Linked DNA regions of Solanum lycopersicum. The protein of the gene in region 2 binds, or shares a complex with, the protein of the main gene of each other region. Links are inferred from orthologs where the notes say so. Each region holds a gene or a part of one and is shown on either strand. Other genes may lie near its edges.

Evidence for each region.
Region 1: protein PLASTID TRANSCRIPTIONALLY ACTIVE 14 (region 2) and thioredoxin-like fold domain-containing protein MRL7, chloroplastic share a complex: the UniProt entries of both Arabidopsis thaliana proteins name them as parts of the transcriptionally active chromosome (TAC) complex. The link is inferred for Solanum lycopersicum from reciprocal best matches to the Arabidopsis thaliana genes PTAC14 and MRL7.
Region 3: protein PLASTID TRANSCRIPTIONALLY ACTIVE 14 (region 2) and protein PLASTID TRANSCRIPTIONALLY ACTIVE 7 share a complex: the UniProt entries of both Arabidopsis thaliana proteins name them as parts of the transcriptionally active chromosome (TAC) complex. The link is inferred for Solanum lycopersicum from reciprocal best matches to the Arabidopsis thaliana genes PTAC14 and PTAC7.

Annotation. Positions count from the first base shown.
Region 1 is NC_090801.1:60,373,645-60,377,847, reverse strand, and holds the start of thioredoxin-like fold domain-containing protein MRL7, chloroplastic, read right to left. Parts: upstream 2,845-4,203; 5' UTR 2,635-2,844; exon of another isoform or gene 2,541-2,634; coding exon of another isoform or gene 2,507-2,540; exon of another isoform or gene 1,990-2,506; 5' UTR 1,967-1,989; coding exon 1,221-1,966; intron 1,117-1,220; coding exon 1,032-1,116; intron 949-1,031; coding exon 837-948; intron 723-836; coding exon 619-722; 3' UTR 610-618; intron 536-609; exon of another isoform or gene 526-535; 3' UTR 1-525. UniProt on the Arabidopsis thaliana protein: Plays an essential role in early steps of chloroplast development. Involved in the regulation of plastid gene expression. May positively regulate plastid-encoded RNA polymerase (PEP) activity through binding to FSD3 and CITRX/TRXZ.
Region 2 is NC_090801.1:61,881,630-61,885,888, reverse strand, and holds the start of protein PLASTID TRANSCRIPTIONALLY ACTIVE 14, read left to right. Parts: upstream 1-1,404; 5' UTR 1,405-1,629; coding exon 1,630-1,698; intron 1,699-1,793; coding exon 1,794-2,012; intron 2,013-2,905; coding exon 2,906-3,043; intron 3,044-3,519; coding exon 3,520-3,645; intron 3,646-3,889; coding exon 3,890-4,018; intron 4,019-4,259. UniProt on the Arabidopsis thaliana protein: Essential for chloroplast development, especially for thylakoid formation. Involved in plastid gene expression, probably by maintaining plastid-encoded RNA polymerase (PEP) activity.
Region 3 is NC_090802.1:49,579,404-49,583,053, reverse strand, and holds the end of protein PLASTID TRANSCRIPTIONALLY ACTIVE 7, read left to right. Parts: intron 1-3,075; coding exon 3,076-3,408; 3' UTR 3,409-3,560; downstream 3,561-3,650. UniProt on the Arabidopsis thaliana protein: Essential for chloroplast development, especially for thylakoid formation. Involved in plastid gene expression, probably by maintaining plastid-encoded RNA polymerase (PEP) activity.

The DNA.
Region 1 (4,203 bases), about 1.5 Mb from region 2:
AAGCAAGGTATATACATTATCCATTCATATCTATCTAGGTTAGTATTAATGGAAAAAAGTTCCGTACCTAGCGTGACATACGTCTCCCCCGAAAACAATAACTCTAATTTAGTTATAGCCAGCAAGGTCAAGATACAAGTAACAGAAGATGCATGAACTTTTCTAATTAAATACAGAAAGTAATTTATAGACATCTAGGGCTAGTATGATATGTAAACAAGCAAATAGAACTAAAGTAAGATCATGCAACTGAGTGTTCTCTTTCCAACTATCCTCTTCTATATAGTAATAAATGTGGCACTAATTTAAGCACATTATAGGATATAACCTTTTTCTTCAACCTTCCACTTGCTAATTACATCAGCACCTGCAAGCATCAAGCGAGCAGTACCATGATCTCGTTTCAACCAGTCATTCTTCTAAGGTTCTGCCCTCAATTGGTCAATTGTTTTCCAGTGACAAAACGACCACAATTGGTTCCAGTTATACAGGGATAGATCCATGCTCCACTGCCTCTTTCTTAATCTGCGACGTGCTAGAAGTTCAAATATTTTTAGTGACATTAATCTATGAGCTTCAATGAAAGCCTAGACAAGTCAGCATCAGTACCTCCGTTGACTAAGACTGTTGAGATAAAGCTGCATCATCAATGCATGAAGGTTTTTTCGCATTGTAGTAAAAATATGCTATCATTTGAACCAAGTCATCAGCTGTACGAATTTCTGCACAAATTTATCCGGAGTTGCAAAGTAAACAATCATTCAACATAACAATGAATTTAGCTGAAAAGATTACAATTACTTTATCAAACTAGTGAGGGGATATATAAAGAGTACCTTTTTCCCTGTATAGTATCCTGTTTCCTCGTAAGAACAATATCTGTGGACTTTCTTTGACTTTAAGCGCATAGGCTAGATCCCTCTCAATATTAATGTCAATCTTCACAGTCTACACCAAGTAATTAGGGGAAATGTAAGATAAGAGGGTTTACTAATGCACAATGTAAGGAGAAGTGATTATGTTTCACAAACCCGAGGAGGCAAGCGCTCTTTGGCACTCCAATACACCTTGGCTGCTTTCTCCAGCTCCTTAAGAGCTTTCCAGTTGTCACTAGCCCTGTGCAATTAGCAATTGTCTCAGAGAACATAAAAGACTTGCATATTGCTTATAGAATATATCCTTTAGGACTTCAATTTGTAAACAAAACAAGATCCACTTGCCGATTGTATCTCTCAAAAACAAGTACAATGAGGGGACTGGGATGAAAAGCGAAGCTCTCCCACTCAAGACAATTGATTTCCTTCACCCAGCAATCATCAATCTCCCCCTCCCAATCGATCTCAACTCCATCTTCTCCTATAACATTTTTTATTGGATGCTTGTCAAAATACTCTGATGCTCTAATTCCCCATCCAACGTCTGCATCCAGAGGCCAATTTGGATCCTCCTCCTCAATGATCATTTTCTTTTCTTTCTTATCCCTACTGCTGTCATCTTCATCATCACTACTTTCATCAGACTCAGTGTCATCATCAACCCTATCTTTGAGGATATTCTCGGTATCTTTCATCATATCAGAGTTCTGCTCTCGGATAGAGGCAAATGTCTTTTCTAATGAATCACGAACAAAATCCTCAACTGCAGCTGCTTCGCTCCTGCGACCACGCCTTGGCTTTTTAGGGATTGTTGATGGGAAGATCTTGGCAGAATCTTTGTCTTCGTTATGAGTTACTTTACTTTCCCGGGACCTTATAGCTTTTCTAGACCTTGAACCAGAGTTATTCTTAGGATCAGACACATGTTCCTCTTCAGACTTTTTTGAAGTGGCAAAGCAAGTCAAACGTTTCAAAGGAGGCGGCAATAGGAAGTTAGAAAAAGAGCAAGAACTACAATGTTGCCCTGCTTTGAGTGCAGAGAGTGATGAAATAGCACAAAAGTTAAGATTTAATGCAGAATGGATGACCATCTTCCCTCGCTTAACTACTTCGCCTGGAAAATCAAAATCTCTATTAGGGATAACTCCTAATATAAAAAACCTGTCGATAACACCAATCAAAATTAAGAACAGATTTTATCAAACTCCTTTCTACAAAACACAAAATAGAAAACATCCACTCCATATTCTTATGTACATAACTAAAAGACAAACAGAAAAAGACTAGCATAACATTCAAAATGTAGTTAAACAAAGTCAACTGTAGAAGCCATAACATTGATGTTGAATTGTTGAGCACAGTACTACTAGCCCACTTTTACAAAAATGTATTGAACTAAGTCAGCATTGTCACCCACCGACACTAAATAGTAGTATAGATGGTGGTACTCCACATGGACTGGCTTAACATCCTAAGTCTGCTTCTGGCTACAGTTAAAAGGTTACCTATTTTGAAGCATAGAGGATAAAAGTCTAATGAGCAAATAATCAAACAGGTTGTGTGCATAAGTTACCAGACTGTCGATACAGTACAAGTGCAACCAACAGTGCATTAATTATGTTTATAACTTGATGATTACAACAATGGCAAACAGCAGAGCTAAAGGTTAGTGAATCATAGAATCAAAGTTTATAGCAATAATAAATAATCCGTTCGCAAGTACTTTGTTACCTTTCTTAAAAATACAACAAAGGACTACCTGAGAATGAAGAAGCTAAATCTCAAGTTCCGTTTGTCCAGTCCCTACTTGTTCTAATCCTATAAGAAATATTTCAACTTTATTTTGAAGGATGGGAGGGCAGAGCAAATGAATAAAAACAACAGCCAATATTTATTTTAAGTTGAAACTTCATAAAAAATATTAAATATTTTTAATGACATGAGGCGAAAATATTTCTAAACTTTATCCAAATGAATACCATAACCCAATATTGTCTCGTAAAACACCTACCTTTGCTCCAAACTTAGGTTTATTTTTTATTTTACTTGAGAGGGGAAAAAATTGTTTAGGGTGATTTCTAGCCTAGCTTTTATTGGTCTTTGGCCTAGAATATTTTTGGGATATTTAATGAAAGTTGAGTAATTAGTTTTATTATATAGCTAAGTTGGTATTTTGACAATTATATTTTAAAGGGAAAAGGGTCAAATATACCCCTAAACTATTAGAAAAGGTTTAGATATACCCTCCATTTAAAGTTTGGTTCACTGATACCTCTTTTGGTCCAAATATGTTCTTAAGTTTGGCCGCTAGGCTAATGGAGAGGGTTGAAAATTCTGGGGTGATAAAAATATCGTAGGTGATTTTTTTTATTTGTCCTTTGTTGGATAAAGCTATTAACGCAATACCTATATTTGGTAGAAAATAACGTCTCTGTGAAATTTAATTGAATTATAGTATGCAAACTAACTTGATAAGAAGAAAAGTTTAACATTGACAAATGAAGTGAAACATTACATATGAATATGATGAATCAGGAATAGTAGTACAGTATCACTTAAGGTGGACAGTATTATTTTGTTATTGATGAGCTTTATGTAACAATTGTTGAGCCACAAGTAACAAGTCAGGACTCAATCTAAACATCAAAATACAAAATTCAATCTTATCAAGAGCTCCATCACCATTCATATCTCCTTCTCTAATCATGTTCTTCAATTCTTCATCACTAAAATCTTGCAATCCCATCAGCTTAGAGTTCCTCTTTAAGCTATCAATTGTGATCACGCCTTTCTCACCATCCATTAACATCCGATAACCTTTGCATAGCTCGTTGATCAGTCCCTCTCCGCATAGCTTTATCGCCATAATTGGCAGAAAATCTTGAAACTCTATATGTACCATCTTTGTTTTACCTGTAGTTCAACTTCTATCACAAATATTGCTTGTTAATGACATAAATTAAAGTGTGATTCATAAGGAAGTTTTCTATGTCCCGTTTTCTAGACTAGTCAGACGAGCTTACGGACTTGTCTATTATTTTCTTAGAACTTGCCTTGCTTGTTGGAAATTTTGTTTTTGGACCAAGTCAGCCTTTTCATTCGTCAAAATGCCTTACAATGGATTTTCAAGGAAACTAATGATGCTCGGTTGGTGCTAAGGAATTCATCTTTCAATTTTATTTTATTTTCACTCAATTATGATAGCAAAGGTGAACCGTCACTTTGTTTATTAAATTCTTGTACTATTATTTTTTCTTCTCCGAAGATGATAAAAATCCTTTATGTTTGAAATTTGAATAGAATATGTGGTCAAACCACGGCTTTGCCC
Region 2 (4,259 bases):
TTTCACACTGAATTGAGACGTCAGTGGTTGTTTTTGTCATCTAGACACATGGGACCTATCTATGTCGAAGTTGTCACTGGTACCTCTTTGATGTGTGTTAAAGCTGGTTTCTGACCTTTTTCTTTTTTCTATTTTGCATGGACAAGATCGATATTTTATCAGTTTCTTGATCATGGAGCTGCGACTCAATGGACATCACTTAGCTTATGTTAATTCTGTTGTAGTTTTAAGAACTTTGAAATGTTGTTAATGCACTTGTATTTGTTGCTTACTTGAATTTCCTTTTGCTTGTGGTAGATTTTGCGTAAAATGTGGTAGGAGGGCTACTTGTTTGTCTGAAGCTACGTGATTTATGAGTCAATTTAGTTCTGAAAGCACTGGTGCATCTGTTGTTATAGGACCTCTAATTCCTTTTGACTTTTTTTCTCTTCCTTTTGTACAGATATTGTCTTTGGGGGATGTGGCCTAGTTGATGAAGTTGGAGTAAACTCCATGGGAGACTAAGGTTCAAATCTTAAATAGAGGCAACACATTTGGGTGATCTCTTCCTTCTGCCTAAACCCTGGTGGTAGAGTTATCCGATACCAACAGTACTGAAAGGATGCAGGTACCTAGCGGAATAGTCAAGGTGCATACGACGACCTAATCATGCTCAGTAAGAAGAGAGCAATAAGCATCTCAAGACGAGATCTCCATAGTGTCAATCACTTGAAGTTTGTGATATCTTGTTTCTCTTTGGGGTTCAGGAAGTGCTGCCAACAATGCTATCACACATTATTAATCAGTCTTGGGACATGAACATCCTAACTCAGTCATATGCATAGCTGGAGATGAGAGTTACTTTATTGTAATGTTGACTAAGATTGTATCCAGTACATGGTGCTGTTGTTGGCCTTTCGATTAAATTAGTTGACAGGTTGAAGGTCTTTTCTATGTATAACAAAACATCCAAATGTTTTTCCTGGTACCTTACGTGGCTTTCTAGTTGCTAATCTCATGTCATATGGTTATAATTTTGTATATGATAGTATCATATGACAGGTGCAAATGGTCAAAATTCAGATAATGGTCCTCTGCATGTTGTCCAACATTCATATATTTGTCGATCAACTAAGTTTTGGTCCCAAATTAGTTGCATCAATCCTTTGATTTTTTCAGATGATTTATAATTACTTGATTCGAACAATACTTAACTAGATTTAAGTAAAGTTTTATTTGTAAATTCAAGCCTAATAATAAAAATGATATAATATAAAGTAATGTTTGATTTAAAATTATGATTTTATTATAATTATTTCGACGTCATTGATCCCTCTTACCGCCAACATTGATAATTTTTACACAGTGAAAACAAAGTCAGACACATTTTTAAATATTTATTTTGCTAAATTTCTTTATCACACCGTTTCCATAAAGATAAAAGAATATATATAAAAATAAATTAATAAATTAAGTAGCAGAATTGTGGAATAAAATAGGGAAAAAAAATCAAAAAATTTAAACCCAGGAAAAACCCCTGGGCACTCTCTCACTGACAGTAGAGTGGATAACGTTTCAAGAACCCAAATTCCATCGATGTATGAATCTTCTTTACTGAAATTCCACTAAATTTTTAGCTCACTCTCAAGAATGGTTTCTTCCACCATTCTAATTCAGCAACCGACGAACTTCTTCCACCAGCCAGAGCTTCACCATCAGGTTAGGCCTTCGCCCCCACAAAACCAAATCATTCAAGAATGAATCTTTTTGCTTTTTGATTTTATGGGTGTTTGATTTTTTAATAATTGAACCAGCTATGGAGAGGTCTGCAGCATGGATGTGTTGCATCATTGCAGAAACAACCTATTTTGGTATGTAATAGTAACAAGAGAAACAGACCTTTGAGAGTTTCTTCAAGTGCTAATGGTGCTGTTACTTCTTCCACTTTGGAGGCCTATGATTCTTCTCCGTCTCCTTCTGCATTTCCTCTTTTTACACCCCCTTCTCAACCCCAAGATACTCCCGCTTCTCAGGTATTTTCTACTTGCCCCTTCTGTTTCATGTTCTTGAAGTTCAAGTTTAGTTTAATCACATCTTGTTACTTTCTGTGTGATAAGTGCTGTTTTCTTTTGGTAAGCTCACTGTATAAGTGCAATATGCAACACTTTTATGTACTCTTTTTTGTAGTTAGAGTTTTGGCACTGCATACCTTTTCCTCTTCAGTCATGGTTTCTTTTACTTTAATAGAATGCCAAACAAACAATGGACAACAATAAGCACTAGTCTCTCAATAAATTGAAGGAAGTGACAGCCAGGCAGTTGATGTTTGGAAAAGATAGGAGTTACACTTTGAAGATCGATGGAATTGTTCTTATGAATTGGTTTTGTTCCTCATTCAGATTTTCTTCACAAATTATTTGGTTCTAGGTCAGGTCCCATATAAATTTTTGGTGATTACTGTGTTAGAAATACAAAATGTTCTACATCAGGTATAGGGGAATCATATACCTAAAGCATTCTCTACTACTCCTTCACTGCATAAATTTTTCTTTAATATGTCGGAATTTCTAACCAATTAGTAAGTCCGTTCTCACACGTGTGAGTCTGCATTGGTTTCAGATATATAGAATGCCTAACATCTGGTGTTTAGGGGCATCCAAAGGGTTATGATGATTTTGAGCTACTCCCCAATTACCTTAAGATTTTCACTTAGATGCTCATGTTCGTTCTCACGTTCTCATGCATAGATATCCCATTTCTATTGTTACATAGTCAAACTAATGGTTGGAATCCCTCTACTTTCTCGGTCTTACATCCTTTGAGAAGCTGATGAACATATATTTTCCTATTTGATTATTTCAAATTATCCTTATTTTCTCCTGTTCTAATTGTTGATGATGGTGGTATAACATTTTCATATGAACAGTTGGAACTGGCAGATCCTGATTTCTACAAAATAGGATATGTTAGAAGTTTTCGAGCCTACGGGATTGAATTCAGGGAGGGACCAGATGGGTATGGAGTGTTTGCTTCCAAAGACGTGGAACCTCTCCGTCGAGCTAGGGTGAGCACTACCTTACAACATGTTTGTATGTACAATGTTTTCCTCCTCCTGATGAAATGTTTAACTATATCAATTACCATCGGAAGCAGTGTCAAATTTACTGCTCCATCAATGTTTTACTATACCAAAAGCTGGACTTCATCCCATCAATTCCACCATGAAATTGGTGGGGGTAGGAAAAAAGGACATGGGAGAATTGTAATACCTTTAAACTACCTTCCTTCTCTCTGAGATAAGTATCTTTAGTTGATTTCCCTCATTTGCTTTTTAACCTTGATAAGTTATATTTGCAGTGGCTAGGCACTACTAATTCTTCTCCTGCTGTGGTGTATTTTATCATGTCCTACATAGTTTTGACTGTCTAATTCATTTGGCATTAGCTTGGCTGTTTGATTGCTCTTTTCGCACTGATTATCTTCACACCTTTTCGTTATCACTAAAATTCAGTGAATCATGAGGTTTTGTTTGTAATGCAGGTAATAATGGAAATTCCTTTAGAACTTATGTTAACCATAAGCAAAAAGCTTCCTTGGATGTTTTTTCCAGATATTATACCTGTAGGACATCCAGTATTCGACATTATCAATTCAACCAATCCCGAGGTAAAAGGATGCATTTTCCTTTTAAATATTTTAATTTTCCTACTAAATATTATTTAATGGAACACATGGGAGAATATTTATCCACATTTTCTTTGATTGGATAAAAATAAAAATTAGACGTCTTACCTTTTCCCTAATGGTACACATGAGAGGATTTGTTTTTATGCTCTAAATTTTTTCATTTTCTTTTTGGTTTTCTAAGATTTCTTGTGACTTTTTAATATTGATTACCTTCTTATGGCAGACAGATTCGGACTTGAGGTTGGCGTGCCTTCTTTTATATGCTTTTGATTGCAAGGACAACTTTTGGCAGCTATACGGAGACTTCTTGCCTAGTGCTGATGAATGCACTAGCTTTCTTCTAGCTACCGAGGTCTGGATATGAGTATCATCCAAATTTCAGTGCATTCAATTAATGTAATATTTTGTGGAAGATTCTATAGAAAATGCTATGCATTCACAAAATTATTCTGCACTTTGTTATGGTGTTCTGCTGAGGTTCAAGTTTGAGTAACTCGAAATGTGAATTAGAAAAGCTTTTGTGATATTCACACTGTTATGTGACCTTTGCTATTAGTGGGTTCTAATTTATAACAAAAGTTTCTTCGACTGAA
Region 3 (3,650 bases), on a different chromosome or scaffold from region 2:
GGTAGGGATCGATCATCGTGTGGCAACGTTGAAAGAATTCCTGCCCAAGAATGACATCGGATATATCCAAAGGAGCTACGGTAAAGTTTGTCTTACCTTTCCACCGTCCTAAAGTGATGCCGACCCCATGAGCAATTCCACACACGGGAGTTGGTGGGGCATTGACCGTCTTGAGGCGATTGTTACTTGGAACAATTTTCAGTCCCAATTTCTCTGCCGCCGCCTTGGTCATGATGTTAGCCTCAGCCCCGGAATCTACCATGGCCCGAACTGCTTGCCCATTGATGGAGATATCCATATATTGTGTGCTGAAATCCCCCGGGTTGTCAGCCTGCTTTGCTATGGCACCACAGATTCCAACCATGCCCAATTGAGTGGTGTCTGCCGGTTTCGCCTTGTCTTGTGCCTCCTTTTCCTTCTGCTCACGGACGATGGCACCAAGGCTCTTCATCTCTGGGCACCTAGCGTAACCATGTGGTCCGCCACATATATAGCACCCGTCTCCTCTACTGGACTGCGTCCGCTTCTCCGAGAACTTTCGGCGTTCGAACCGTTTGCCATCGGACTTGGGTGTGTCTTGCTGCTTGGGTTGTGCCGACGGTTCTCTGCCTCGGCCACGGTCTCCCCCACCTTTAGCTTGACTGCCCTTTGCCTCCCTGCCCTTCGCCTTGTCCAAACGATCGTGTTTGAAGTCTGTCAAGGTCTCGGCTTGAGTGATGGCCTCATCGATGGTTTTTACTTGACGCCGCTCTAACTCGGTCCTCGCCCAATTCTGCAGCCCGTCCATGAAGGTGAACAGCATGTCATCTTCCGTGAGTTGGGGAATCTGGAGGGTCAAGATTGTGAACTCCTTCACATAGGCCCTAATACTTCCCGTCTGCTTCAACTCCCGAAGTTTGCGCTTCATCTCATAAACAGCATTGTTGGGGAAGAAAGCTTTCTTGAATTCCTCAAGGAATTGTTCCCATGTGTCGATGGTGCGTGTGCCCCTCTTGATCTCGGCATCTTTGCGTTTCCACCACAACATGGCTACGTCGGAAAGATACAACACGGCAGTGTTGATCTTGCTTGCATCGCTCCTGACCCGATTACACCTGAAATAATTTTCCAAGTGCCATAAGAAATTGCCTACCTCTAGGGCGTCTCGGACACCCTTAAATGTTGGTGGCTTGGGAACCTCGACCCTGGTCTCCCTCTCCTGGCCAAGTGATGCTGTTGCTGCAACCTCCCTCTCTTCTTCGAGGGCTACTACCTTGTTCTTCAGGGTCTGGATCATTGTGGTGGCATCCAACAACCTGAACTCCAAGGAGGTAATGGACTCCTTCAACTCCAATTCAGTCCGCTTGCGTAGATCCAACTCCTTCCGGATGATGTTAACTTCTTCAAGGGAATTTTCTTCAAGGTTTTTAACATCGCTGTCCAAACCATTCAAGCGCTGCCCCAAAATCTCAACAGCAAGTCTTGCCCTCTCAACGCTGGCAATCCATTCATGTCCAACAGTGACGTCTATAACGTCGTCGCTGACGTCGTCTTCACTTTCCACATCTGTATTCTCCTGGAAAGATGTTTGTCCGTCGCCTGGTGGAGGATCATTTGTTGGCAGATCGCTTGATGGTAAACCTCCTGGTGGAACACTGCCTGATGGCAGGTCGCCCGAGGGGACACTGCCGGATGGCAGGTCGCCTGGTGGAAGACTGCCTGCTGGCAGGTCGCCCGGTGGAGGGTTGGGCAGACTGGGTTCATTGCCCTTCTTGTTCTTTCCCTTTTTGTTCTTCTTTCCTCCCTGAACGTTGGGGGTGCCGCCACCGTTTCCTCCGTTCGTCATTTTCCTACGATAAACCAATGCTCTGATACCAACTGTCACGGACTTTTTGATTCGGACTAAGTTCCGTGCGGCACTAGACGGTTTACTCACGACTCTTGCACGTTCTTGCAAACTCTAGTAAGCCTAAAACTCAGATCGCTAAGAAAATAAGAAGTAAGACAGAACTTTGGAAGAAGGAACTTCTATTACTTGAAAATAATTGGATGCTTTACAAGTAAAGTAATCTACTATTTATACTACTCTAATGCTGCCTAAGAGTTAGTAAATAAACTATACAAGTTCCTAAGACTATGCCTACAAGACAAGCTTCTAAGTCTTCCAAAAAGGACTCCTAGATGCTCCTAGTCTGCCCCATGATCTCCACAAGCCTCTCAAAGACTTGTAACTTCTGTAACAGCCGCCCCACTAACTGTTGTAACAGCTGAAACTGCTGCCTCTTCAGCTGCTGCAGGCCTCCTTGGCTGCTGACCTGCGTGGTCAGCCTGCTCCCCTGCGCCTGCTGCGCCTGCTGGCTGCCTCGTTGGGTGGCGTTCGGCCTGAATGGATGGCGGGACGTCACATTAGGCTCACTTACTATATATATTAAGTTAATTACAAATAAATACTTTGAAGAATTTTTTGACTTCAAACTAATCAGTATAATCAAAATTATGGAACTCAAGATAACCTGTAAGTTATGACTCTTGAATTTTCTTTAAGTAATAGTTGAACTCTCAGCAATTCAAAGTACTACATGAACATGGAATTTGTTATGTGTTTTCCAGTCAGTGACTATTGATAGACCCCTCACTCAGGACTTTATCTGTATGTGTACTGTTGGTGGTTGGATTTTAATCTTTGTAAGGATGGAGGATGGAATCTTTAGTTCCAACATCTCTAAGCTTTTATGTGCAAGTGTTTTATGTAGCTTTTCTTAGCTGGTATTCTCTAGGCAAAACATTAACTTCTTACAAGCGCCCATAAGATAAACACAACAGTACTACTCCTTGATAATGGTTAACACAATTGTGACGAGATTGCTTACTTACGGAGAGGGGTATACTGAATTCCACAGTGGTTGACTTGTCATTTATAAAACTTTGTACCTTTATAGATTAGGATTTAAAAACTTCTAGCCTTTCTTATTTCTCTTTCAATATGATGGTGGAAGGGCGAGAAAAGAATCTAATCTTTATCGTTAATGTTTGTTTTGAATCATGCTGAAAACTTGTTAATAGCCTGCTTGTTGTATATTCTAATTTTGGTTTCAGACGAAGAAAGATGAGACATTAGATGCCAAAATGGAAAGGATTCCATTCCTTGAGGAGCAAGTGAGGAAGATAAGGGATGGGGGTAAACTATTGACGATGGACATTCATAGATTATTACTGAACGAGGACAACCGGTTTGATTTTGTCAATGAGATTGCAGCAGAGGCCAAACAGTATGTCGAGAACAACCGAGATGAGTATGGTGCAAAGAAAGCTATCCTTCACGTGCTTAGTAATCGTATGAATGATGCTGGTGTTTATCGCTCAGAAGCATACATGGACTCTGACCCCTTCAAGCCAGGCCCTGGATATTTGAAAGACGAACTACTGTAGATCATTAGTTAGCTATACTTTCTGTATTCATATAGCACTTCTCTAGTATATATATACACTTTCTACTGAGGGATTTAATGCCAAAAGATGAGAGTTAAAAAAATCATAGCACTTCAAAAAAATAAAAAAATACGATCTGTTTCTGCATTTAATTATTCATTGCAAAAAGCAGTACAATATTCTATGCAGATACATTTTCATTTCCATACTAGCTAATTTCCCTTTTTAAGACAGATAACTGG